7 linked regions of the Ovis aries genome follow. The protein of the gene in region 3 interacts with the protein of the main gene of each other region in a biochemical or structural test. Links are inferred from orthologs where the notes say so. Each region holds a gene or a part of one and is shown on either strand. Other genes may lie near its edges. The genes, in order: TRIM24, AHR, ESR1, MTA1, PHB2, SRC and FLII.

What was found.
Region 1: the proteins of ESR1 (region 3) and TRIM24 form a complex in vitro, tested with the Homo sapiens proteins (4 studies listed by BioGRID). The link is inferred for Ovis aries from reciprocal best matches to the Homo sapiens genes ESR1 and TRIM24.
Region 2: the proteins of ESR1 (region 3) and AHR form a complex in vitro, tested with the Homo sapiens proteins (4 studies listed by BioGRID, with this or other methods). The link is inferred for Ovis aries from reciprocal best matches to the Homo sapiens genes ESR1 and AHR.
Region 4: the proteins of ESR1 (region 3) and MTA1 form a complex in vitro, tested with the Homo sapiens proteins (4 studies listed by BioGRID). The link is inferred for Ovis aries from reciprocal best matches to the Homo sapiens genes ESR1 and MTA1.
Region 5: the proteins of ESR1 (region 3) and PHB2 form a complex in vitro, tested with the Homo sapiens proteins (3 studies listed by BioGRID). The link is inferred for Ovis aries from reciprocal best matches to the Homo sapiens genes ESR1 and PHB2.
Region 6: the proteins of ESR1 (region 3) and SRC form a complex in vitro, tested with the Homo sapiens proteins (3 studies listed by BioGRID). The link is inferred for Ovis aries from reciprocal best matches to the Homo sapiens genes ESR1 and SRC.
Region 7: the proteins of ESR1 (region 3) and FLII form a complex in vitro, tested with the Homo sapiens proteins (2 studies listed by BioGRID). The link is inferred for Ovis aries from reciprocal best matches to the Homo sapiens genes ESR1 and FLII.

Annotation. Positions count from the first base shown.
Region 1 is NC_056057.1:103,687,324-103,690,823, reverse strand, and holds part of TRIM24 (transcription intermediary factor 1-alpha), read right to left. Parts: intron 2,135-3,500; coding exon 2,017-2,134; intron 1-2,016. UniProt on the Homo sapiens protein: Transcriptional coactivator that interacts with numerous nuclear receptors and coactivators and modulates the transcription of target genes.
Region 2 is NC_056057.1:26,779,255-26,783,509, reverse strand, and holds the start of AHR (aryl hydrocarbon receptor), read right to left. Parts: upstream 2,801-4,255; 5' UTR 2,189-2,800; coding exon 2,124-2,188; intron 1-2,123. UniProt on the Homo sapiens protein: Ligand-activated transcription factor that enables cells to adapt to changing conditions by sensing compounds from the environment, diet, microbiome and cellular metabolism, and which plays important roles in development, immunity and cancer.
Region 3 is NC_056061.1:76,603,930-76,607,429, forward strand, and holds part of ESR1 (estrogen receptor), read left to right. Parts: intron 1-214; exon of another isoform or gene 215-367; intron 368-843; 5' UTR 844-912; coding exon 913-1,367; intron 1,368-3,500.
Region 4 is NC_056071.1:67,465,616-67,469,115, reverse strand, and holds part of MTA1 (metastasis-associated protein MTA1), read right to left. Parts: intron 2,544-3,500; coding exon 2,426-2,543; intron 1-2,425. UniProt on the Homo sapiens protein: Transcriptional coregulator which can act as both a transcriptional corepressor and coactivator. Acts as a component of the histone deacetylase NuRD complex which participates in the remodeling of chromatin.
Region 5 is NC_056056.1:209,334,061-209,338,295, reverse strand, and holds the start of PHB2 (prohibitin-2), read right to left. Parts: upstream 2,801-4,235; 5' UTR 2,664-2,800; coding exon 2,537-2,663; intron 2,355-2,536; coding exon 2,270-2,354; intron 1,962-2,269; coding exon 1,882-1,961; intron 1,004-1,881; coding exon 819-1,003; intron 398-818; coding exon 268-397; intron 175-267; coding exon 71-174; intron 25-70; exon of another isoform or gene 1-24. Other genes in the region: EMG1 (ribosomal RNA small subunit methyltransferase NEP1), read left to right, coding at 3,049-3,216.
Region 6 is NC_056066.1:66,271,955-66,275,993, reverse strand, and holds the start of SRC (proto-oncogene tyrosine-protein kinase Src), read right to left. Parts: upstream 2,801-4,039; 5' UTR 2,449-2,800; intron 1-2,448. UniProt on the Homo sapiens protein: Non-receptor protein tyrosine kinase which is activated following engagement of many different classes of cellular receptors including immune response receptors, integrins and other adhesion receptors, receptor protein tyrosine kinases, G protein-coupled receptors as well as cytokine receptors.
Region 7 is NC_056064.1:34,134,148-34,138,093, reverse strand, and holds the start of FLII (protein flightless-1 homolog), read right to left. Parts: upstream 2,801-3,946; 5' UTR 2,773-2,800; coding exon 2,710-2,772; intron 2,504-2,709; exon of another isoform or gene 2,399-2,503; intron 1,200-2,398; coding exon 1,089-1,199; intron 739-1,088; coding exon of another isoform or gene 701-738; coding exon 629-700; intron 1-628. UniProt on the Homo sapiens protein: Is a regulator of actin polymerization, required for proper myofibril organization and regulation of the length of sarcomeric thin filaments. It also plays a role in the assembly of cardiomyocyte cell adhesion complexes.

The sequences.
Region 1 (3,500 bases), on a different chromosome or scaffold from region 3:
TTGTATAATCAAAACAAAACACGCAAACCTGACTGTTCTCACTGGATGTGAGAACAATACCACAGAGTATTACTGACTCAGTTATCTCTCTATGATGTAGCAATTGAATGACAACAACAGCTAGTTCTTTACACCTTCATGGCGCAAATTGTGTTAGTTCTCTGATGGCGAACACCATGCTTTATAACTACACTGTTAAAAAAGAGATTAAAGGTACCTCTCACAGGTCTGGTCCAAGAGTAGGGCAAAGCTTGATTTCTTCAATAGCAGAGACTCAGTTAAAAGTTCCTGATTTACTAAGCATATGCATCCTTAAAGATATGGTTATCATTCATTAAATACTTACTCCACATTAGGTACCATGATAGGAGATCTATGTATATTGTTAAAATCCTTCGTACAGATAAGGGATCTAAGGTTCAGAGAGGCCAAACAACTTATCCAAAGTCACAAAGACACTAAACTGAATATGCGTCCAAGACACTACTTTTCCCTTGCACTCTTCTGTAACATGTTTCTCAGAAGCCATAAATAAACAAGTTTGGGAAAGTTGTATCCTTCTTAGAAGATTTAAAACGTCAATCTCACTTTAAACGACAATTTATAGAGCTATATATGACACCTCTGAAAAGTCCTACAGTAAAGGATACTGTCTTACAAATTCCTCACAAACAGGAGGTGTTTTTGTTTTTGCTGATTCAGATTTACCTAAACTATATTCACTTATGTGCGTACAGTTACATATTTTCTTAATTTTACCTATGTCTACATCATGTGGACTATGTTTTAAGTGATATGCTTATAAGTACATATAAGTCAACATGACTGTTACTGTGGATATAAAGCTGTGATAGATTCTCTGTATAGCTATATATGTGGTGGAGGGTAGAGTAGGGTAAGAGATAGTTATATACATGCTTTGTATTAAGATGCTTCTTTTTAGTTATATAGATGAGAATATGTATGATACCAGCTGCTGGCTATGTTTATCAATCAATAAATACGTACTTCTAAACTGTGCTGAGGAGTCACCTTATCATTTCTTCAAAGGGTCACATTACCATTCTTACTGTTCTCACATATGGATGAGATTTATGTAAGCCTATTTCTTCCCTTCTTGGAGTGTTCTGAGAGCACTGGCTCTCCTTCCAGCCAGTTCTTTCTTACCCAGAATCTAGCTTAGAGAATGAGAGAGCAACCCTATTTGATGATTTTGAAACAAAGTCAATAAGCCCCAAAACTGCCAAAAGGTGGTTAATGAAGAATGTATATGAAATTCTTATTTTTGTTTCTATAATTTCCCTGTGAGAAATTAAGAAAGGAGGCAAAAATTGAAGATTTTTTTTACTAGTACATAATGTAACAAGGACTGCCTGCAGGGATATGTGATGTTACCAAATGATACTGAAATTCCCCCTTTTTGATAACTCTAGTACTTCAAATTTGGGCAGTTATCTATATGCATGATACACTTCAATTAGGAGGTTAAAAATTATTTAATTATTACATAAAAGGAAAAACAAAAACAAAACACACAGAGAGAATTCCTCCCTACCAAGAAAAAGCAAATAAATGAGCCATTAGTACCTGACAACTGGGTCTCAAGAGTGAGTAAGCCAAGAATTGTATGAGAAATACTGTTTTAACAGAAAACATTCTAAAAAGTACTATATTAATGGCAGACACATGTAAAGAGTTTTAACAACTATTCTGATAAATATGTCACTAACAGCACAACTTGCTTGAGGAAGAAAAACAACTCCTAAATCCAGAAATCTAGACACTGAGTCAATAAAAGGATGTTTCATATCACCCACATATTTATATGTGTGTTTATATTCATGCATGTGTCACAAATATACACACACTAATGAAATACCAGGAAAAATCCATCTCTTTAAAACAAGATAATAAAAATATTTAGGGGGTAGAAGGGAATACATTTTCAACAATCTCATAATCATTAAGAGTTCCAGAAACAAATGGCACTTTGAGAAAATCTACATAACAGCCTACCTAAATTGATTATATTTTGAGCCCAGAAGCTAGGATCACAGTGAAACTGGATGGTATTGTTGGTCACTGGGGAAGCATCACACCTTGCTCGAAGGAGGTGCCGTAACCGGTACGTAATCTAGAAGAAAGCAGAGACAACTGAGCATCCAAGTCTTTATTAGGCAAATAATTTATCAAGTTCCCAACAAATACATAAAAAATGCTCTCTATGACATATATGCCAACACAAAACAAGTGTTCATAAGTAAGTTATAAAAAGTGGACAAACACAGTTTTTCTTCAAAAATGCGTTAGAGGTTTAAGTACAATTAGTTTTACTGTTGAACACAAAACAAACCTTTCCTAAAGTGACAGGTTAAAGTTAGTTCACTGAATTACAGAAGTTTCACAGATGTACCAACCACATATTTATAAAGTAAACTCACACACTGCTTTTATTTTACTCTTTCAAAGAAGGATTCAAAGTAGAGATTAGGGGGCTAATGGATTACAAAAAATACAAATGAATCTCTGCTCAGGACATTAAGTGCAGCCTTGACCAGGCCTGCTAGTAGGATGGCCCTTCTTGCTCCTGTGCTGTGAATCTCAGTCATCACACCACCTCCCACCCTCCTCCACACTGCAGTCCTCAGTGAATGCTCAGTCATTCTCTCAGTCTTTGAAGAGTTCAGCTCTTGGCTCATAATCACCATCTCCAATATTATTCCTGCCATAATCCTAGATGGGCCACAGAACTGGAAAAGCTCAGTTTTCCTTCCAATTGTAAAGAAAGGCAATGCCAAAGAATGTTCAAACTACCAGACAACTGTGCTCATTTCACATGCTAGCAAGGTAATGCTCAAAATCCTTCAAGCTAGACTTCAACAGTACATGAACCGAGAACTTCCAGATGTACAAGCTGGATTTAGAAAAGGCAGAGGAAACAGAGGTCAAATTGCCAACATCTGCTGGATCATAAAAAAAGCAAGGGAATTTCAAAAATAACATCTACTGCTGCTTCACTGACTCTGCTAAAGTCTTTGAACTGTGGAAAATTCTTAAGGCGATGGGAATACCAGACCACCTTACGTTTCTCCTGAGAAACCTGTATGCAGGATAAGAAACAATAGTTCCAACCAGTCATGGAACAACTGACTGGTTCAAAATTGGGAAAGGAGTATATCAAGGCTGTATATTGTCACCCTGCTTATTTAACTTCTATGCAGAGTACATCATGAGAAATGCTGGACTGGAGGAATCACAAGTTTGAATCAAGACTGCTAGGAAAAATATCAACAACCTCAGATAAGCAGATAATACCACTCTAATGGCAGAATGTGAAGAGGAACTAAAGAGTCTCTTGATGAAGGTGAAAGAGTGAAAAAGCTGGCTTAAAACTTAACATTCAAAAAACTATGATCATGGCATTTGGTCCCATTACTTCATGGCAAATAGAAGACGAAAAAGTGGAAATGGTGGCAGACTTTATTTTCTTGTCTCCAAAA
Region 2 (4,255 bases), on a different chromosome or scaffold from region 3:
ACAAGATGAATTTTTCAGACAATATACCAACATATTAGAGTGTCTATTAGTTATAGTAATTTAACTTAAAAAACATTAAAATACTGGGTTTATGGCTCCATTCTTAAAATGGACTCTAACTGCATTTTAAGTTCATCATTTTTCATTCAGTTAAAAACAATTTATGAACAACTTCCCGTGATTCTGTAAATGTCAGCACTAGGCTTTTCTTATGGAGCAGTGACATTTTAAGGCGTTTGTAGGATTAGAAGCCATGCATGATGCTCAGTAAAGATCTGATAAACATCTCTGCTAACTAGATAAAATAAGGGTGAATGTGGAAATACTTTGGTTGTATTACAGGAGATATTAAACACAAATATATTAAAGTCTTAGAAAGCATATTTAATTGCTAATAATAAAAGGTACATCCTTAAAAAAAAGAAAATGTGCAATAATATATTTACAGGGAAAATCTTTAATAAAATGGTAACAAGAAGCCCCAAATGTTAAACTTTAAAATGAATACAAAAATTAGAGCATTTCATTGAAGTCACCTAGGTCCTGTGTAACATACTTCCTGAAATGCAATAACTTAAAATTCTCAGGTTTTCTAACTATACAAATAAAACCTATGATATACATATATATATTATACATTATGTCAAGTGTACTTTTGTATTAACTAAAATACACAGAGGTGTCTGTGATGCCTTTCAATTTTAAATAACCATCAAGGACCAAGTCAAATTAGACAAGCACATTTTTTATAAGAAACCATTCTATAAAACACAAGTATTGTAAACCAATGTCAACAGAATTGCCAAGATAAAAACTGCTGACTTGACAGTATTCCTAATGTCAACCACGCTGCAGGATAAGTCTTCCAAATTTTAATCAGTCTATTTATAGATGAATATCCTCTGTTGATGCCAAGTCTAAATCTGAAGGACTGCAATCACTGAAATTCTAAAAGGAAATTAAAACCCCAGAATACTGAAACCTTTAAACTGGTCTTTAATATTAATTTTAAACTGCTATTTTTCTGGTTTGGATTAGTGACCTAAATTTAGTCTTAAGCCACATGCACACTTGTGATTTGTTCTGAGTAACCGTTTAAAGTGTTCTTAAAATTGTTTATGAAAGTTTGAAAAATGTGAAGTAAAATAACTCAAGGATAATAATTAGGAATAAACACATGAACATTGCCAACTCGAAAAAGTAAATCTGTGTTAAGCATGGATTTTTCTTTTTTTTTTCTGAAAAAAATTAAAGTATTTGCCATAATCACATAAATATCCCACCAAAACAAACAAACCTAAGTTTGTACTTTATCAGAATTGACCAAACTTTGAAGTAGAGGGAAAAGGGAATTAAGAGAATGATGCTAAGAATGAAAATGTCTGTTTCAATAATTCCATCTCCAAATTATTTGCAGACCCTAAAACCACTTCCAAAGTGATAAATCTCCCCCAAAAGATGACTTAAAATACAAATCTTCTACTGTATCCTGGCTACTACACTCACTCAAAGCTGCTATCACCTCTATACATTTTATTGATATGTTCACGCTGAGCGCTACAAAATTACTGCCAAATAAGTAAATAAGAGTATAACAGAAAGCCAGTTTCAGGGAACCAAAAAATACCTTCAGAGGCACTCAGCCCCTTTCTTGCACACAGCACGTGTTTAGCTATTTAAAGCATCTCGCCCTACCAGGAGTAAGAATGGTGACCGTCCTCTAACCTAACAGAGGAGGATATTAAATGTGAAAGGGGATTTCAAGACGGGCTTAGGTTAACTAATCCACCAGCCCCACAGGGCAGAGGAGAGCTGTTAACAAATTAGGACCACAGCACAGTGAACAGCGCTGCAAATGGCTGGAGGTGTGAAAGGGTGCTCTGGAGAAGGGGTTCGGGGGGGGGGGCAGAGAACGGGGGGCACAATTTTTAAAATGCAATCATTAATCACGGAAAAATCCAAGGCCTGGGGTTCTCGACCGGCCTCCAGATCTCGATTCCACAGACTGCACAGGGAAGGGACCTAATCCCCTGGCCTCGGGGATTTGGGGGCGGGGTGCGGCAGTGTCCCGCGCCTGAGCGCCCACCTCCCCACAGCACAGAGGACAGGCTCCGGAGACTCACGTTTTCTGCACCGGCTTCCGCCGCTTACGACTGGCGTAGGTGATGTTAGCGCTGCTGCTGTTCATGGTGCCTGGCTGGCTGCGGCTCCTCCCGGGCGCGGACGGCCCTGTCCCCGGGACCCGGCGGCAACTGGGACGGGGTTCCACTTAACCGCGGCTGCTCCACCTGCGCCCTCCCGGGGCGATGGCGGAGACACAGCACCCCAGGAGCCGCAGGGCTTCTGCAGCCCCGCACGTCCAGGTGCGCGGCCCGGGCCTGGCGCCGAGGGGCGAGGGGCGGAGACCGGGGAGGCTGGAGGCGCAGGTGCCGTCTGTACCAGCTGAGGCGGCGCCGCGCTGCCCGCAGGTGAGGCGGCGCGAATGGAGGAGGAGCCTGGGCTGTCTGTTTGAAATCCCGGCCTGGGTCGCTCGCTGTGGCGGCGCGCCCCGTGACCGTCGCTGCGGCCCCTTGGGTGAGGGAGGCGCCGCCGCGCTGCGCTGCTCCCGGGATTTCCCCGATCCCGGGTGCTTCCCGCCTGCGGAGCTCGGACTCCGGCCGCTGCTACGGGTGCCACCAGCTTCCGCTCGGCTATGCGGCTACCTCTGGTCTGAGCCGGTGGTCCCAGTCACGCTTTCAGAACCTAGCGTCAAGTGGACTCGCCCTGCGATGCCTCCCGCTGCTGCTTGCACCGGCTGAATAGCAGAAGCGCCCCCGACCCCTCTCCAGCCCCGCCCCGCCCCTCGTAGCCCCGCCCCATCCTACTTGGCCCCGCCCTCCGCTATATTTCCCTTGAGGGCCCCACCCTCCCGGCACGTGATGACGTAAGGCGTAATGACCCCCACCCTCTCCAGTAGCCATCTTCTTGAGGTCAAGGGGAGGAATCTGTGGACACATTTCCAGTCCATAAAGACATGTGACGACAAATTATGTGTAGCCAAAGTCTTTGTAATCAGACAACCTCAAGGAAAGAAATGCCAAGTAGTGAGCTTAAATTCACCTTTGCAAGAGACAGTGAGTCAGCCAACTTTTGGCTAAGCATTACAGTGAGCTGGCAGATAACCTGTGGAACTATAAATCTTCCTAGAGGAGAAGGCTTCAGGAGGCCACATCTCAGTTGAACTTGAAGGCTAGGCATTTTTCTTGTCTTTTTGTTTTGAGTTTGATTTTTGTCTCCGTACAAGACAGTATAGTATCTTTTCCCCAGGCAGAATAACTGTTACACTACAGTCAGATTTCAGGAAGGTGGGAAGGCAGGCAGCAGGAGGCATTTGAGAATAAGCAGTCTGGTATAGCTGGAGAGAGAGAAGCTGGAAGTGAAATCCAGGAATCTAGGGTCAAATCATAAAGCCTGATCAAGAGTCCACATATTATTCTGCAGTCAGTGGAAACCTTTGAATGATCCACAGCAGGCAAGAGACATTCTAGTGTTTTGGAAGTTTTAAATGACAGTGCAAGCTGGATTACAGGAGAAAAAGACTGGATGCCGAGAGAGTAGTTAGAGTTGTTGAAGTAGTCCAGGTGAAAGTCCAGGGAAGTGACAGTGGGATGGAGGGGAAAAAGAGCAGATAATAAGGAAATAGACAAACAAGAGAGAGCAATCTCAAGTACCTCCAACATTTCTGACTACTCCTGTGCCTTTACCCAGAAAAGTAAACACAGGAGTGTGTTTTGCTTGTCAGGAGAAGGGCAATCAGACTAAGAAGTCTAGATGAAATCTGGCACCATGTCCATTCCTACATTTCAAAATGTCATCAAGCCATTTCCATCCGGTGAGTTTGTTACCTCACATTCAGAACATCAATAAATTGAACATTGTTTTCTTTAGCTGAAACCTCACTGTCATATACTCAACCATTATCCTATCAACCCTATGAAATATCTTCAACTCTTCTACAACTTACATCTAAATATTCCAACAAATACTATTTAATTTTGTGTATTGCAACATCCCTAATTCATCTTCTGCCACGTTATTCTTCAATAATAACACAAAAAATGCCCAACTCAAATGCTTTATCATTTGAGATTCCTATCCAAATATGGCGTGCTTCCCTCCTAGCTCAGTTGGTATAGAATCTGCCTGCAAGGAGGGAGACCTGGGTTCGACTCCTGGGTGGGGAAGACCCCCTGAAGAAGGAAATGGCAACTCACTC
Region 3 (3,500 bases):
AGGCGGGCTGGGAAAATCTCGGAAGATCGCGGCTGGAGGCGACCACTTTGGGAGAATTTTTTAGACGAGGGAAACTGAGGTCAGGTAGCACTCTCCTGAAGGCAAAACTCGGCTCTTCCTATACGCACACCTTGAATCTCCGCCCCCTTTCCCCGGACGCCTGCGATCAGTCTCTGCAGCTGCTAAATATAGCTGTCTGCATCGGCAACCGCACACCCCACTCTATCTACCATATCTCGGTTACAGAGTGGTCCTCCCCAGGGTCATTCTATGTACACACTACGTATTTCCAGCCAACGAGGAGCGTGAATCAAACAGCACGGGAGACAAACAGAGATAGATTGGAGCCTGGCACGGGGCACATAAGGTAGCACGTTAGAGAAAGCTGGCCCCGGGATGAGTCTTCCGAGTTGGTTTGAAACCCGTCTTCTCCGGGCCACCTTTAGGAGATCCCTCGGCGCCCCCGCCCTCCTGCCGTGAAATCCAGCCTCTATCCAGCAGCGGCAAGTAAAGTAAAGTTCAGGGAAGCTGCTCTTTGGGATCTCTCCAAAACGAGTTGCGCGCCTGGAATGATGTTGAAGGCAACGTCAGGGGCAGGCAGCAGCCCCTGGCCGGGGGCCAGCACCTTTGTCATGCCTATGAGCTCGGGAGAGCTGTACTTAAAGTTGGAGACCCGAGCCCGCGAGTTGGCAGAGCGTGCTCGCGCAGGGCTGCACTTGCTCGCGTCCGGCGGCCGCCGCGCTCCTCGGGACGGGGCCGGCTCCCCGGGGCCCGGCCGGCGCTCGCGTCGCGGCGGGACATGCGCTGCGCCGCCTCTAACCGCGGGCTGTGCTCTTCTTCCAGGTGGCCGGCCGGCTGCTGAGCCCTCTGCCGCGGGGGGAGACGGTCTGCGCCGGCCCGCGGCCGCTCACCATGACCATGACCCTACACACCAAAGCGTCCGGCATGGCCCTGCTGCACCAGATCCAAGCCAACGAGCTGGAGCCCCTGAACCGCCCGCAGCTCAAGATCCCCCTGGAGCGGCCCCTGGGCGAGATGTACGTGGACAGCAGCAAGCCCGCCGTGTACAACTACCCCGAGGGCGCCGCGTACGACTTCAACGCCGCGGCCGCCGCCTCCGCGCCCGTCTACGGCCAGTCGGGCCTCCCCTACGGCCCCGGGTCCGAGGCGGCGGCGTTCGGCGCCAACGGCCTGGGGGCCTTCCCGCCGCTCAACAGCGTGTCTCCGAGCCCGCTGGTGCTGCTGCACCCGCCGCCGCAGCCCCTCTCGCCCTTCCTGCACCCGCACGGCCAACAGGTGCCCTATTACCTGGAGAACGAGCCGAGCGGCTATGCGGTGCGCGAAGCCGGCCCTCCCGCCTACTACAGGTAACCCGCGCCGCCCGCCGCGCCCCGTCGGGGTGGTCGCCGCGCGCGGGGCGGCGGGAGGGAGCGGGGGCGAGGGGCCGCGCGGCGCGGAGGGAGCGGGGCCCGCAGGCCGCGGGGCTGGGCGCCCGGCCGCAGCCGCAGCCCGAGCCGGGGCCGCGCGACCCGAGGGCTAGCGCGCCGCCCGGCCTGGGGTCACGGGTGCATCTCGTGTTCTCGAGAGTCAAGTTCTCTGGCCCAGCAGCTTAAAAAAAAATTTTTTTTTTTAATTTTAATTTTTTTTCCTTCTCCACCGCCCCCCCCCCCCGCCCCCATGTCTGCTTGATACGCAGATCTGAAACCCCGTGTGCTTCCTAACTAAACAAATATTGGAAAACCGTGCAAAGCAGAGGTTTTTTTAGTTGGGGAGGGGGACACCCCAGAGCCAACACACATAAGGTGCTTTGAGTCCCCAGAAAAGGTCCCGCTTTGGTACTTAAGGCTGGAGGTGTTTGGGACTCGCTGAGCTCAGTGTTATTTATTTATATTAGTAGTAGTATTTAACAATTTTGTTTTACTGTGCTTGCCAAATTTCCCTGCTCCTCGATTTTCGGGTTGGAAATATGCACGCTCTGATAATGATGAGGATGGTGGTGGCAAAGGTGATTTCCTCGGGGAGCGATTTCTGGCCCGTCTTTCTCCCCGTCCCACCTAGGAGGGCTGCGGGGCTGAAACGCGCCCCTCAGAAGACCCTAGAGTTGGATGGGTCTTAAGGAGTTTTCTGATTTCTGAGTTACCCGGACTGAGTCCGTGTCAGAGCCCAGTGCTGGCAGAAGACTTCTGACATCCCGAGATTTATGTGTCCTGTGAGTTTGAAACATGCCACATCGAAGCACGAGTGTTTTGAAATACTTTCCTTACAGCTAAGTTTCATTTCTGGCCTACGGGGCACAGAATGCCCCCGGGAGTGCCGTGCCCGAGTTCAGCCCGGTTCTGTGCTTTTCCTTCAGGGGAAGAAGCAGATGGTAGCTCAGGGCACACAGGGACGTTTTTCTGACTTAGAGGCAAATGTTTTGTGTCTTCTTCTTTTTTGTTGTTGTTGTTGTTTTTTTTTTTTTTTCTTTTTCATAGAGATGACACTTTCCTTCTCCCTTCTTGCTCTCATTTTCCCTTTGACAATTTCTCCCTTCTCTTCCTGATGGACTCCAAAAGGGCTTAGGCAGGGAGTCCTGGGGAATACCAGTGCTCTAGGTGCTGCTGGACAGGGGTGCCACGGAGTGGGTTTGAGAGACCTTAGGGCGCCCACGTGGCTGGGCGTTGAGTTAGGCACTGTCTCATTGTACACTGGTGTCTGGACCTGCCTTTCATCCTTAACCCAGACCCTTCTGTATTGCAAGCTGGGATGATTTTCCATTCAGTGTTCTATTTCCAGAGATATTTATAGTAGAAGCAGCAGGAGGAAGGTGCCAAGTGGCCCCAGAGAATTTGAAGGGGAGATCATGGGCTATCTGAGCACACTCCACATCCTTTAGCCTCTGAAAAGATTTTAGAACACCCCACAGCCAGGCAGGTCCAGCCTGAGTTATTCCATAGAAGACTCACTAGGATGAACAAACTTTCACAAGTTGGCGTCTGTCAAATTCATTTTACTTGTTTTAATTCAGGGTTAAAATGGGAAATGAAAAAGAATTTATTCTGCCTGCTTTTTTTTTTTCAAGTGTTAGAACAAAATCTAACGATTAAGTCTGATTCACACCTTTTAAACTCCTTGATGTGAAGGAAGGCATTGATATGATGTGAGTTCCATAACCTCGTGGTAGACTCCAGAAACTATTTTCTTTTCCATTTAATTTTCAGTTCTTTTATTGCAAATTAATGCCACTGAATTTCAATGGGCACTAATGAGACTGCTTCTCAGTGGATTATTTACTGCCTTGCCAGTAATTACAAAGTGAGCATGGTCAAATGAAGAGGGGATCACATTTTATTCAAAATTGTTCATCATCCCAGTGGCAAATACTATCCCTATAATATGCCCCATCTTAAACTTTTTGCGTTAGATAATATTCTGGTACTTTTGAAAAAAGAAAAAGGGAACTTTCAAAAATAATAAAGGTAAAAAACTCAGTACGTATGGGATTCCAGATGGAAATTCAT
Region 4 (3,500 bases), on a different chromosome or scaffold from region 3:
CGCCTCTGGAGTGGGGTCTGGGTGTGGGCCCCCGGGCGTCGGAGGAACCACCGGGACGGCACCAGCAGCGCAGCCATGGGGGGAAGGGCGGGCAGTCCGGATCTGAGCGGTCGAGCTCTTTACCCTAAGACACCGCAGGGCTGGGTGCCACCGCGCCCGGCCCCCCGTGCCAGCCCCTCACCACCAGTGCGCTGATGCCAGCTCAGCAGACACTCGCCCACCACCCGGGGTCCTGAGGCCGGAGGCCTCGTCTCAGGGCAGCTTCTCCCTCGGCCTGTGGGTGGCACGGGGGAGCCCAGGGCCCAGCCATGGACGCTTCTGTCCTGGGCAGCACCTGTGCCAAGGGCCAGTGTGCTCTGATCAGCAGGGGGCATGGGGCCACGAGGAGGGTCTGCAGAATGCCCACCCGGCGTGGCTGGGCTGGCATGGAGGACACATCACACCCACCCTCAACTCGGGCGCCTGAGCTGAACACCTGCAGACGCCCTCGGCCACGGTCACTCTTGGCAGGAACCCGCTTCCAGGCCCAGGACCCCTGTGCACTCGGGAAGCCCATGGAGCCTGGGGTGGGCATGGGTCAGTAGGGCCGGCACGGCTGAAAGTCACTGGGGAGACACGTGCCCCCTCGCCCTGGGGAGGTCACCCTGGCGGGCTACAGGGGCGCGCTGGGCCAGGGGCCCATGGAAGGGAAGCCCGGCACCGCAGACATGCAGGGCTGATCCAGGGATGGGGCGCGGAGATCCGAGAGCCTGGGGTGCCAGGTCTGTGGGACGCAATGGGGCGTCTGGAGGATGGGCATGGTGCACTCCCTCCTGGCAGCTACATGGCACTGAGACCCTCCCCAGGGAAGCCAGGGACCCTCCCCTTGGATCTAGGCCCCAGTGACGTGGCCAGGCAGCCAGGCCCAGAGCCCCAGGTGCAGTGGCACCCCCGTCCCAGTGCCACGCCAGCGGGCGGGCAGCATCACGGCACACTCTGTGGCCGCCACACACACTCACAGACGGGGCACAGGTTCACACTGGCAGGGTCCATGCCCCAGGAGGCACGGGGAGACAGCAGGCTGAGGCCTTCGCCAGGGTCCCCGAGTCAGGAGCGGGAAAAGCCTGGGCTGTGAGCAGGGCTCGCCCAGGGCCCCTGAGAACAGAGGCTCAACCCCGCCGAGCACCCAGGCGGTGGGCAACGTGAGCTCTTTGGACACTTGAGCCACCAGCGTCCTCCTGAGGCCTCACCAGGAACCCTTAGCCACCCCGCGGGAGCACAGGCCTGAGGGGCCCCGGGGACTCCCAAGGACGCCTGACCCCGGAGGGGTGTCTGTGCGGGAGATGCAGTGCGGGGGCCCCCAGGATGATGCGAGTGCTCATGGGGCCGGAGGGAGGGGCGGCCAGGCCCGCCTGCGACGGAGCTGGACACGCAGGGCGGACGGGGGAGCCGCCCCACCACCCGCTTCCCACGAGCCTGGCTCAGCAGACAAGCAGGCGCCCCGAAATGGAGACCGAGGCCCCGGCACGGAGGCGGGTGTGAGCGTGTGAGTGAGGTCCGAGTGAGGTGTGCCACACGTGTGTGCTACAGGAAACGTGCACACGGGCCAAGAGCAGGGCCCAGGGTGAGCGGAGCAGCTGGGGGTCGGGAGGCGCGGCAGCCGCGGAGAGGGGGCTTCTGGGGATTCCTGCACAGAGGAGCCTGCGGTGCAGAGCAGAGGGGAGCCAGGCCTGGCCCACGCCCCACCCATGCGGGAGATGCTCGCCAGGGCCGCCTGAGGACGAGAGCAGAGCGGCCACGCGCTCCACGAGGGACCGGGGACCCCAGGCGGCCTGGGCACCTCACACGGGGCCAGCTCTGCGGGGACACCGGCTCCAAAGAGAGCAAGGTGCCCAAATGCCCCGAGGCTAAGCACGTGTGCGGTCCAGCTGCCAGACCCGCCTCACCGAGCCGCGCGAGCAGGACGGGAGAGGACAGGACGCCCACGAGCGTGGACCCCCGCGGCCCGCTGCGTCAGCCCCACGTGCCTGGGCGAGGCCACCACCCGAGGGACGAGGGCCACTCACGGCAGGTCTGCTGTCAACCATGGGGCCCCTGCAGGAAGCAAGGCCTGGGGGGTCATCGGGGCCCGAGTTCCTCTGTGCTGCGTGCATGGGGACAGAGTGAGCTGCAGGAAGGGGTCAGGCCCACCCGTGACCCCGGGCCGCTGGAGGCCTGAGCGGGCAGGGGAGCCGGGCACTTTGTCCCCTGAGCACGGTGGCCTCGTGGACAGCACCGTCCACCAGAAGTCAGTGATACCAGCAATCACTCAAACGAGCTCTTTGAACAGAGAAAGAGCTTTTAAAAAGTTATGAAAACAGCTGCTAAGAGGAAACAACGTCTCCAGGTAGCGTGGAGGGTCCAGCGACAGGCGCTGGGGTGCTGGGCCCGCCGCGCCCCCACCCACCTTCTTTCAGCAGGTCGGTGATGTCCGCCTGGTACCGGTTCCCCACCCGGATCTCCCCCTTGTCTGCCAGGAGGGTCTTCTGCTGGGGGTCGTAGACCAGGGAGTAGAAGAAAAAGTCCTGGAAAGCAGCGCGGGGCGGGGCTGTCACGCTCAGCGCCGCGGCCACGCGGGCAGCCCACGAGCCGCCTCGAGCCCGTCAGCGGCAAGCCTGCAGCTTAGTTTACAGAGGCATTTAACAGCAGCAAAACCCCGAAGACGTCTGGGAACAAAGCTGACAGACTCTGGGCTTGGCCTCGGAGGAGACGGCAGGGCTCCCATGCAGTTGTCACAGGAGACACACAGAGCAGCCACGTGACAGGACGTCCCGGGCCTGGCGCCCAGAGCTGGCTGCCCCCAGCCCGTGGGCACCGTCCTTGGCCCCCAGGAAGCGGCATAGAGCCGGCCTGGGCCGCTTCTCGAGAGCAAGCCTGCCACCCAGGGCTTCCCCTGGCGCCTCCCTGTATCCCGCAGGGTCTACCTGGCCCCGTGCCCCCGCTGTGCCCCTGACTCCACTGTGGCTGTGCCCCCACAGCCCTCAGCCCCAGGTGGCAGCGGGCAGGGGCTGCCCCCGCATCAGGGCCAAGGGCTCCTGGGCGTAGGTCCCGTGGGCTGCAGCTGTGCGCCTGTGCGGCCAGCCCCTCGCCTGGGCCACCCCCCTCTCCTCGGAGGCACCCCCTTCCCCAGACGGGTGAAGGAGAACAGCAGAAGACGCCCGCTGTGCACCCCAGAGGCACACGCGGTGCTTCGGCAGGACCCATGTGCCTCCAGAGGTTGCTCACAGCCGCCACGGCACTGCTCGGGCGGCTGCCACCGGGGGTCCTTTCCCAACTGCAGGCCACGCGTCCGCTCCCCAGGGGAAGCTGTCTGGGGCCATGGCCTGGCTCTGCCCGCCACCTTTCCAGGCCACACCAGGCCTCCCGCAGGCAGGGGCTCCCGGGGGGGCCGGGCTGCCCCAGCAGTTCCTCTGCGCCGACTCCAGGCTCTCGCCTGGCGGTTCTCCAACCCGAGTCAGGCATCAGGGAGGCTGCACACCAGG
Region 5 (4,235 bases), on a different chromosome or scaffold from region 3:
TTCGCCTTAAGTCTCATCAGCCAGCCTACAGGGGAGGGGCCGCGCTGGGAGCGCTTCTGTGGAAGGATATCATCCGCGCCGCCTCGGCCTCACCCTCCGCCTGCACGATCTTCTGCCGCTGTTCCTGCTTTGCCTTCTCCACCAGGAACTGTGCGCGCTGGGCCTCCTGCTGGGCTGTGGCGGGAGAGAATCGGGGTCACGGGGACGCGAGGCACCGGGAACACCGTCGCGCCTGCCTGCTTCCTCGGACGCCCTCGCTTGACTCACCCACTTGTTTGGCTTCCACAGCGGCCGTGTACTCGCGGCTGAAGCTCAGCTCGGTGATGGCTACGTCGTCCAAGATGAGGCTGAAGTCCTTGGCCCTCTCGGTCAGCTCCCGTCGGATCAGCAAGGACACCTGGGGGGCGGGGGCGGGGGCGGACGGGAGAGGGGCATTGAGGGGGCCGGAGAACTGAAAGGAAGGCGTGCTGCCGTGACCATGGGAATCCCAGATCTCCAGAACACCGCAGGGGCACACTGAGGCTCTCCGACTTCCTCACTGAGCCTGCAAAGCTGGAGAGGCCTCGGTCACACGGACTCCTAAGCTCCACTCTTTCCAAAACCGTGTGTGCGGGTCTAGACCACGGTTCTCCCTCCCTGCCTGACACTAACCAGGCCTGGCCCTCGTTCCCCACACTGGCCATCAGCACGGCTTTTTGGGTGTATAGGACCTCAGGTTACAGTCCTTTCCTAATGGGCTGGCTTTCCTAAAAGCCCGTCCACGAGGCTTTGGAGGGAAATGCTGATGCTGTGGGAGGGAAGGGGAGCTGGAATCAGACCTGGGCCCGCTGGGTGATCAGCTGGGAGGCGTTGAACTTGGCCACCACGCTCTTGAGCACCTCGTTGACAATGGACGGCAACACTCGCTCCTCGTAGTCCAGCCCCAGGCGCTGGTACATGCTGGGCAGCTCCATGGCATTGGGTCGGGACAGCACCCGCAGGGAGATGTTCACCATCTGCAGGTCTAAGAAAGAGGTCAGCAGTGGCTGGGCGAGGCTACGGGGGCTCACCTGGCCTCTCGGCAAAGCCGCCCTGCCTAGGCATTTTCTCCTGTGCGTGCTTCCCTGGCTACCTAGGGCAATGCCCTGTGGCCCAGAATGGCCTTGGGCGGAGAGTAAGGAGGCTGATGAGAGGTGACTCAGCACAGGCCAAGTGCATACTTGTCCATGGTCAAATCTCCTCTACCCATGGCCTCTCCTCCAGAAAAGCTTTCTTTTATTTTTGACGCTTCACTGTAAGTTGTTACATTGTATGGTTATCGCCAGTCTCCTGAACTAGACAGTAAGGACTGGAGAACAAAGACTGTTTTGTGGATACTTTACTCTTAAGGCCTAGGGTTTTGGGAATTTAAGAAACCTTCACTGAAGATAACGCAAAAAAGTACATTACAGGTGAGCTACTTGCCTCATTGTGTGTGTGTGTGTGTGTGTGTGTGTCTGTGTCTGTGTAAGGTTGATCTGGGGAATCTCAAAGGCACATCTGTGAATGGTGTAGGAGGGAATAGGTGAGACCAAGTTTCCCCAGAACAGAATGTACCAGTAGATTAATAAATCAAACAGTTAAAGAAAGGTTTTAAAGCGAGGCTTTGACCTAGGTAGTGAATAAGACAAAAGACAAACAATGCTCTTATTGAGTTTACACTAGGGGGAGGAACACTTGAAAACGAGCAAATGCACAGCATGTCCAGAATATACTGCTTTAATCCCTGGAGCAGGTGCTTTTATTACACCTTGTTTGCAGAAGTGGAAGCCAAAGCCCAAGAGATCTGACACCACGATCTTCCCCAGTCTCTGACCAGGCTCCCGTGTTTACTGTCAGGGATGTCCCAGTGCCCAGACCTACCTTTGGAGCCTGTGGGGGAGGAAATTTTTCGGGGTCTGGCCCGAATGTCGTAGATGATGGGGTACTGGAACCAGGGGATCCTGGAGGGAAGGGAACAGGGATAGGGGTTAGGAAGCTGCGATTTCACTAGTTCTGCCGTGTTTTCCTTCACCACGTGTTTCTTGACCTGCTCCTCCTCTTAATGACCACGGTCAAGGAGAAACTGTCTTCTCCCTTCAGAAAACAACAGTATGTGCTGCTGGAGATTTGGGCAGCACCACTGTTCGGGGAGATGGGGTGAGAAGGGGAAAAGGCAGCGCTGAATCTCGCTGTCAGTCTTACTACAGGTACTGGTGGGTCGACGTTCAAGGGTGATGGGTCAGGGTCAGTCAGTTCTGCCCGCCATTACCTGAAGTGAAGGCCCTCGGCCAGAATGGTGTCCTGCTGCACGCCTCCGATCCGATTAAAGAAAATGGCTCTGTGCCCTCCTTCCACTGCAGGGAGAGGGGTGGGAGTCAGTCCAGGCCGGGCTCAGAGTACGTGTCAGCTTCTGGTGGGGCGGGGTGAGGGGCTGGGTGAGCGCGGGGCCTCGGTGGGGCTGGGGCTGGGAAGGGGTCCTGGGAAGGGGTCCAGGGAAGGTTGGTGGGAGTCCGGAGAGCGGGCGCAGGTTGCTCACCGGTGAACACCGATTCGCGGATGCCGTAGGCCACGGCCCCGGCCCCCAGCAGTAGCTTCAGCGCCGTGCCCATGCCCCGCGGCCCGGAGGGCAGCCGGCCCGCTAAGTCCTTCAAGTTCTGGGCCATGTTCGGTCCTGAGGCCGGCGGCACCAGTGGTAAGAAGGGGGTGCCGGCCCGTCTCTACCTCGCTCCCGCTTAGGGATGGCACCCTTCACACGAGGGTCCGGGCCCCAGGTGCTCGCGGGAGAAAGGGCACCGGAAGTGCGCTCCTTTCTAAACCCTCCCCGCAGCCAACGGCGGACCGGAACTGGACGCACAGGAAGTATGCATCCGGAAGTCCAGCCCCTTTCTGGAACCCTGCCCTCCCAGAGAGGCTTCGCGAGCGGTAGACCTCGAGCTGTCTCCATTTCCGAGCGCCCACTTTCGAAATGGCAGACGGAAGGAAGCTGGAGATTGGGGCGAGCTCGAGGCCAATTTAAGGACGTTACACAATTTCCGATACGGATGCAAGATGGCTGCGCCCAGTGGTGCATTCCAACCTCGTGAGCGCCGGGCTGCGGAGCAGGAAGAGGACTGGGATGCTGTGGCGCCCAAGCGGCCCCGACTTGGGGCGGGTAGCAAGATCGGAGGCCGTAGGCTCATTGTGGTGCTGGAAGGAGCCAGTCTGGAGACAGTCAAGGTAGACTTGGACTAGGAGATGGAGAGCTAGTGGATCGATAGGATGGGATCCGGTGTGGTGAGGGTGGTGGGCTCAGGGGGTGATGGATGGAGAAAGCAGAGACGGGTGAAACATGCTTTTGGAGGAGTGGCCTAATCGACTGCCTCTTCGTTTAACATCCTGAGTTGGTAGTACTCGTTTTCTTTGCCCTTGAATCTCTGTGCGGCTCACATCCTTGCTTCCGATTGATTTACCAGGATTCTGTGATAATCCTAACCCCAAAGTCGTCTTAGGGGAGAGGTTTCGTCCTTCGTGTCGTTCCTCGGTTCATCCCAAGACAAGTTTACTGGGCAGAGGTAATTACTATAGCTCAGTCAGTCAGTTCAGTCGCTCAGTCGTGTCCGACTCTTTGCGACCCAATGAACCGCAGCACGCCAGGCCTCCCTGTCCATCACCAACTCATGGAGTCCACCCGAACCCATGTCCATTGTGTTGGTGATGTCATCCAACCATCTCATCCTCTGTCATCCCCTTCTCCTCCTGCCCTCAATCTTTCCCAGCATCAGGGTCTTTTCCAATGAGTCAGCTCTTCACATCAGGTGGCCAGAGTTTTGGAGTTTCAGCTTTAACATCAGTCCCTCCAATGAACACCCAGGACTGATCTCCTTTAGTATGGACTGGTTGGATCTCCTAGCAGTCCAAGGGACTCTCAGGAGTCTTCTCCAACACCACAGTTCAAAAGCATCAATTCTTTGGTGCTCAGCTTTCTTTATAGTCCACCTCTCACATCCATACATGAGTACTGGAAAAACCATAGCCTTGACTGGACCGACCTTTGTTGACAAAGTAATGTCTCTGCTTTTCAATATGCTGTCTAGGTTGGTCATAACTTTCTTTCCAAGGAGCAAGCTGCTTTTAATTTCATGGCTGCAGTCATCATCTGCAGTGATTTTGGAGCCCAGAAAAATAAAGTCAGTCGCTGTTTCCACTGTTGCCCCATCTATTTGCCATGAAGTGATGGGACCAGATGCCATGATCTT
Region 6 (4,039 bases), on a different chromosome or scaffold from region 3:
TCCCAGAGCCTCCCCCAGGGGCCCTGGGACATGTCTGAGCTGAAAGGAAGAAAAGAGTACTGTGTCCCCTTCTTTGTTGAGGAAAATGTTGCTCCCCGCCCCCCGCCCCTGTCACCACCTCCTGGAAGCCTCCCAAGGTCTCCTACAGCTCCCACTGCTAACCCATCACACACTGCTCAGCTCAAGATCAAAGCCCGTAGAACATCATAGGTACTCAACACAGGGCCATGGATGCTTGTATCTCGGCAGGTTTGGGAAAATGGGGTCAGTTGAGGTTCAGGGAATGGGTGGTTGGTCACAGGCCACTGAGCCGTCTCCTTCCTGGCTCCTGGGGTTTGAGGGAGCCAGACAACCTCCCCCCACCCACCACCCCACCACTCCCAGGTCAGGTCACAATCAGGGTAGAAGCCAAAGCAGGAACTGGCTATGCACTGGGGATACTTCACGCCTGGGAAGAGGCTAGGGGAGAGGAGGAGAAAGCTGGGAGGCCTTCCTGGAAGAGGTGGGCCTTAAACGAAGCCTTAAAGAGCAAAAGCAGACAAGCAGCTCTTAGAGGAGAGGGCACTCCCGGCAGGGAAACCCTCAGGAGCAAAGGCCCTGGAGTCACACAGGAGGGCCTAGGCAGGCAGTCAGCTGAGAGGTGACACACTGTAAATCATTTCCTTGGGTGGAAAGACCACATCACCACAGCACACCACCTCACCCAAAGGGCCTCGTGGCATCCACACAATCACTCATCCGAGTCTCTTCCAACACTGTCGTGTGCCTGGTCCCATACTGAGAAACACCCATTCCTCCATCACGGGAAGGGAACAAGGACAGCCCGACCGGGCACTCTGAGCTCTAGGCTCTCATTCCAGCTTCAAACTATGTGGCTCGGTCAAGTCACTTCCGCTCTCAGAGCCTCAGTTTCTTCCCCAGCAAAAAGGGGATACACAAAAGTCCCTACCTCCTAGGAGGTACTCGATAGATGTTAGCAGCTATCATTCTCACAAGCCCATTTTATACTGAACAAACCTGAGGCCAGAAGGAGAAGCGAGTTGTCTCAAGTGCTGGGTGGCAAGACTGCACTGAGGCTGGTTCCTCCTCAAGGGGTTAGGAGGTGGCTTTGGGGACACCGATCCACCCTCTTCTGGAATAAGCCCCACAAGAGCCAGCCATCTCATCTCATGCCCATCTTTTTCAGGCCATTCATCCAGTGCCATGCTCATTTATTGAACACCTACTACATGCCAAGGCCCTACCTGCAGAAGTGCCTACAGGTTTCCCCTGGGGATCCCCACCGCACACAAGCAGACTCAGAGGGGCGGTCCTTTGGCCCAGGTAGCCCAGTGTGACCAGAAGCCGAGGTCTTGTCTCTCCAGCCAGAAAGCCAAGATGAGGGTCAGCAACAGCGTCAGCCTGCTCCATTCTTAAAATCAAGTCTGATCTCAGCTGACTGAAGCCAGGCCTGGAGTCACCCCAGGTGATCCAGAGACCACTGCCCCAACTGGACAGAGTCCCTGAAGCCGGGGACACCTCACCCAGGGCCCCACAGGCTCTGCCGACTCTCAAGTCCGCCTGAAGGCCCCAGAGGTTGAACTGCTACCCCACAGGTGAGCCCCTTCTGTTCACCCAGTCCTTCCACCAGCCCAGTAGGCTCAGCCAGGCCCACAGCTGGACCTGACAAGGGCCCCCAGCTCAGAGAGGGCAGGCAGTTGCTCAAGGAAGCACAGCAGGGCAGGAAAGCGGAGCCCCCACTGGGACTCAAACCCACCACCAACCCCAGCCCAGGCAGGCAGATGGACCCGGCCTGGGGGCCAAATCTTAAACTTTTGCCAACTTCTGAGCAGACCGGAGGTAGGGCCTGCCCAGAGAGGAGGCTGGGGGCTGTGGGCAGCTGGGACCAACCACAGTTTGGCCCAGTCCTTTCCAGGCCGGCAGCACCAGGCCCTACCCAAGGCCCCACGAGGACAAGGAGATCCTGGTGTTCTGGCCCGGCACCCCCTGCCCGGCGCCCCCCCAGGCCCACCCTGCCGGCCCTTCTCCACCTCCCATCCCGGGCTGGGGGCGCCAGGCTGGGTAGCGGCGGCCAGAGGCGGCGCCGACTGGTTCAGATTTCAGATTTGGCCTAGACCTGGCCTGGGGGCTCGGGCCCGGCTCGCTGCTCTCAGGGGGCCCGCAGAGGGAGCATGAGCGGGAGGGGGGGGTCCTCGCGAGGACAAGACCCCTACGCCCCCCACCAAACCCCTCCCCCCCCCCCGCGGCATCACAACAAAAGGCCGCGCCAGACAAGTCCCGGTGCGCCCGCCCTGCGCCCCGGGATCGCCGCTTGGCTCGAGGGGTGAGGTTTGGAGGGGGGCAGGAGCCCCCGCGGCCCAGCGATCGGACGCCAGGGTGGTCCCCGGGCGGGGGGCTCCCTCACGCGGGCCGGGAGCCGGGGCCGGCGGAGGGGCGGGGGGCGCTCACCTGGACCGGCAGGCAGACGGACGCACCGGGCAGACAGACGCACTGGAGGACGGACCGCCGGACGGCCAGGGGTTCGGGCACACGGCGGCCTGGCCGCTCCGGCTCCCGGGCCGGAATGGATTCCGGGCCAGGAGAGACAGATCGAGAGAGAAAGGGAGGCGGAGGAGGAGGAGGAGGCGGCGGCCCGGGGAGGGGAAGAGGAGGGAGGGAGCGCGCGAGCAGGGAGGAGGGGCCCGGCAGGCCGCCGGGAGGGGGAGGAAGAAGGAAGCGTGCCGGGACGGGTCCCCGCCGGTGACCTGGGAGAGTCCCGCGCGCGGCCTCCCCACGCCCGGGGTCCCGGCGGCCAGGGAATGGAAGGGCGGGGGCTCCGGCCACGGAAGCCCCGCCCCCTACCCCGCCCTGAGAGTGCTCCCTTCCCATGGGGCACCCACCCATCAGCTCTCAAGCCAAAATACCCTCCCCAACTCCTCCCAACCCACCCACCCAACTGACCCCAAGTCTACCTCTCATGAAATTATTACTGATAATCAGTAACAGCAGCACTGATGGAGAACTCATTCCTTACCCGGTGCCATGCTAAGCTGTTCAGGTCAACTTTAGGATCTATTCCTACCAACCAAGTGGGCTGGGCAGGCCAATGATCACCCCCATTTTACAGATGAAGAAACTGAGGCACAGAGAAGGGACTCACCTGACAAAAGCCAGGTCTTGGACCCTGGCCTTAACCTGAATTTCCCAAACTGGGGACTGAGACAGGCAGGACAGTGTGGTAAGGAGCAGCATTTTTATCTTAATAGCTATGCATTCATTTTAAAGTGCATCAGAAGAAAAAAAAAAAGTAACTAAGAAGCCAATAAGTTCCAGATAAGGAACTTATAAAGGGCTTCCAGTAAGCCCCTTGCTGCTGCTGCTGCTAGGTTGCTTCAGTCGTGTCCGACTCTGTGCGACCCCACAGACGGCAGCCCACCAGGCTCCACCACCATCACTGGGACTCTCCAGGCGAGAACACTGGAGTGGGTTGCCATTTCCTTCTCCAATGCATGAAAGGGAAAAGTGAAAGTGAAGTCACTCAGTTGTGTCCGACTCTTAGCGACCCCTTGGGCTGCAGCCTACCAGGCTCCTCCGCCCATGGGATTTTCCAGGCAAGAGTACTGGAGTGGGGTGCCATTGCCTTCTCTGAGTAAGCCCCTTAGGAGGGGCCAAAGCAGGTATTCAGTGGCAATTATAGTCAGTGGTAAAGAACCTGCCTGCCAGGGCAGGAGACGTGGGTTCGATCCCTGGCTCGGGAAGATCCCCTAGAGAAGGGAATGGCAACCCACTCCAGTATTCTTGCCTGGAAAATTCCACGAACAGAGGAGCCTGGTGGCAGGTTTCAGTTCATGGGATTGCAAAGAGTCAAACGCAACTGAGCACATGTGCTAGTCCTGCCTTTGGCTTTTCACAGGTCCTCCTGGGATTACTGCACAGGGGAAGGTGGGCCTGAATCCAGCTTTAAATGCCACCATCTGCCTCTGTTTTCCTTCTCTGAAAGTTTTCCCATTTCACAGATGGGAAAGTAAAGCCCAGTCCAGGTCAAATGGTAGAAGCCTGG
Region 7 (3,946 bases), on a different chromosome or scaffold from region 3:
ACAGACCAGGGGAAGGCACCATGGCCACAACTGACAGAAGGAGAAACAGGAGCCACCACTGCGGCTCCCTCTCTGCCCAATGTCTGTGTGGTGACACTTTGCCACTTCACGGTGGTCACTGAAGGGCCATCTCGGAAAGTGCAGAGCTCAGCTTTAACCCGACTCCAGAGGTGTGCCCTTCGCATCTCAGGGCTCCAACCTTAAATGGGAACGACCACTGGAATGGCCTGAACATCTGGGATGGGAGGTTCCATGGAGAACAGCAGGGGGAATGACCCATCCAGACCACCTCCCCTGCCCTGCCCTGCCCCAGCTTTATCACTGGGGATAAACCACAGGCAAGTGACCTGCCCCCTTGGTCAGTGTCCTCTCTGTGAACTTGGTGGAGGTTGGGATCACATGAAAGACCCTTGAGAAATAGCTGGAGTGCTGCTCAGCCAGGATCAGCTATCACAGCAGTTCAAAATGGATCAGACTTAGGTTTTTTCACCTTTTCTCCTACGTGTTTCTCAACTCAGGTCATTACTGCATGCTCTCTCCCCACAAACCCCTGACACCAGGGTGGACAGAGGGGTTGGCCTTGCCCCCAGTCCCCACCTTGACTTCTGCAGTCTTGGGCAGCACTCACCCGCAGCGATGGTAGGCTGGACAGCTCCCCATGCAGCGTGGTTAGGTTGTTGTGGCTCACGGACAGGTGTTCCTGGGCCGGCACAGGGTGTAGAGGCTCAGCAGGGTGGGCTGGGCGTCCACAGAGCCTCCACTGGCACCACAGCCTTCCCCTGTCCAAGGACCCTCCCACAGAGCCCCCATCCACCACCAGGGCCTTGCCCCACCCAGGGATCTTCCCACAGAGCCCCTATCTGCTACCACAGCCTTGCCCTACCCAGGCACCCTAGGCCACCCAGGTCCAGTCCACTCTTGCACCTTTCTTCTTTCACACACCTAGTCTTCTTGCATACCTCCCAGGACAGGGTGCTCATCCTCTCTCCACCAGTTCTGCTTGTGACAGGCAATGTCCTGCACAGGCTCTGTCCACCTGGCTAGCCCCATCCACCTGGACCCTCCCCTTCCTGTCCAAAGCTTCTTACCAGCTTCTGCAGGGAGGCCAACTCCTCTGGCAGGTAGCAAAGGCCGGTGCGGTTTAGCTTCAGCCATCGCAGGCTGGTCATGGCCTTGACGTTCTCAGGGAAGTAGCCACCCTGCGGGTACGTCACAGTGAGGCTGGTCTGGGACATGGTACCCTTGCTCTGCCACCTTGTGGCCCCCACTGTCTGTGGGAGCCTTTGGGGGCAATAGTCATTTCTAGTTGTGTGTGTGACCCCAGACACATCACTTGGCCACTCTGTCTCAGTTTTCTCACCCGTAGAATAGGGCTGATGAAAGCCCCCTGATGACAAAAGCGTCCTGAGAACCCACTGGTGATTAGGATGGCTGCTGACCTAAGCCCCGCCTCTCCTGCTGGCTTCTTGGCCCAGGAAGGCTTATTCTAGATGCCACCCCAGAGTCAGCTGTGAGGTCGGATCAACTCAATGTTTTTGCCTTGCATCCAGGCCCTGCCTGTGCAATTTGTTGAACTGCACTTTGTGCCTCTGCCAAGGCCCCACCTGTGCCCTGCCACCCACCCCCTGCATGAGGCCCCAGCTCCCCACCCTTTCCCACACAGGCATAGCTTATTCATTAGTTCACTCACCCATTCGTCCCCCAGACTCAAATGCCCACCTCAGGACCCCAGCCCCGTGGCCAGAAACCTGGGGAGGTTAATGCCTTCAGTGCTCTGGGCTAGTGCCCCTTCTCCCTACGGCCACATTCCCTGCTGGTGACTCACTCTCCTAGACTGAAGAGGACACTTGGGGACTCCAGGTGAGGACGGTGGGGATGGAGGCAGAGGAGTGTGCACGGTGGCAAGTGTGGGTAAATACAGGAAGAAAGGGCCTGTCTCCTCTGCCCTGACCCCAGCCACTGCCTGGACCACTGGACCCTGCAGACCCAGGCTGATGCTCCACTGACGCCAGCCAGGGTCAGCCCACTCATCCACCCTGAGGACCCTCCTGGAACCAGGCCATCTCTCAGGGCCTCCTCTCTGGTCACCAGCCCTCCGGCCTCACTCTCAGTTCTCAAGAACCACTGTCCCGCCCCGAGGCTGGGCTGGTGTTCCCAGCCGCCCTGGTCCGCCAGTTCGGAAGCTGCTCAGACAAATGGCACCCAGGGCCTCGCCCACCTGCCCAACACGTCCTCCACAACTAATCCCCGCCTCCAGGGGTTTCAAGGTAAGCCTCTCCACCAGACGAGAAGACGAGGCTCCGAGAGGGGAAGTGACTTGCCTAAGACCACACAGGATGGGGGTGGCGGGTGCGGGTAGCGCAGAGCCGGCGGCGTAACCATGAGTCAGGGCCCGGCTTGGGCTGTGACCTCACAGGGGCGGGGAGGGCTGGGGAGGCGCGAGCTCGAGCTCCGACCGGGACCCCCGGCCGGCCTGCTGGGGCCAGGCGCCAGGACCCAGCCGGTGAGCAGACCCCGCGCGCCCCTGCGCAGCTCCGGGACCCTACGCGCGCCCGCCCGCCCCGCCCGGCCTGGGCTGTCTTCGCGGGCGCCGGGCGGAGGCCTGGGACGTTGGGCCGGGGCGGGGTCCGGGCAAGCCCGTCCGCGGTCCCGGGCGCGCAGGAAGCGGAGGGGCGGGCTGGGGGTCCCGGCCGTCGCCCAGAGGCTCACCTTGAAGTCGTTGCCGCTGAGGTCCACGCCGCGCACGAACGGCAGCACCCCGGTGCCCTCCATGGCGGCGCTGGGCTGAGGGGAGAGGACCGCGGGCGGGGCCCGGCGCTCGGGGCGGGGACCGCGGAGCCGGCGGGGCGGGGAGCGCGTCGGCCCCGCCTCTCAGCCCGGGGCCGCTCGGGGCCAGCCCTGGGGCGCGGGGCCTCGAGGAGCGCTGTGTCCCGGTGCCCTAAAGGGCCTTCTCGGCCCCCGGCTGTTCCTGAGCTGGTCAACGCCGGGGACCTGGGTGGTTCGGGCGGCAGTGGCAGTAGGACGCCCGGGTCCTCGTCCGGAGCCACGAGCCTCCGGGAGACGCTCCGGGGCCAGTGCCCACACTCTTATGCGTCCTGGGTCGGAGGCCAGCCCGGGTGCGCGGTTACGTGCCCGCTTGCCCCTCGAGGGAGGCCTCCCTGGGCCGGCACATAGCGGTCCCAGTAAGTGACAGGACCAGTATACCCTTCACGGGAGAGGCGGCCGCAGACTACAGTGACCAGGAGCCCCACCGGATGCTTCCTTTGCCAGGAAGGAGCTCACGTTCCCACCTGCCGAGTCCTGGAGCGTGGCCCTGCGCCTTTAAGGCGGAGCTTGCCGAGGAGCCACGCCCCGAGGGGCGCTCGGCCGCCATTGGCCGAGGCCGCCTCAGGGCGGCACGTGGGCACTGGCCTTGAGCGCTCTGATTGGAGTCGGGGCCTGTCCGTCTGCGAGCCTGGGGCCCGTGCCCGCCCCAGGCCTTGGCGTTCGACTCCCGGGTCCTGCACGTTCCATTCCCAGGCGGCCCCGGGGCGCGGCCCGAGCGGCCCCCTGAGTCCCCTGGCTGGGGCGCCGAAGCCGCGACGCAGGTACGGCCGGGGCACGGGGCGTGGCCTCTATCGGCCGCGCGGTTCCGGCCGGGAGAGAACCGGCTCGAGCCGAGTTCTGGTCGCTTCTTGGGCCCATCCTGGCGTTCCCCGGGCCTCGGTGTCCTCGCGGCCGGGGCTTGGAGGAGGCTAGGGGAGGCGTGGCCTTTCCCTCTCCCCTTCCCTGGTTAGGGTCTGCGGGCCCCAGGTCAGACAGGCAGGGGCTTTGAGCGCTTTACAGTTTGGAGGCGGTTGGCAGTCCTGATGAAGGAAGCCGCCGCCGGGCCATGCTGGGTCAACCCCCTCCGCTGTCTTTCCTATTTTTAGCTTGGGAAAGGGGGATGGGTGCGGGGCTGCAGGCC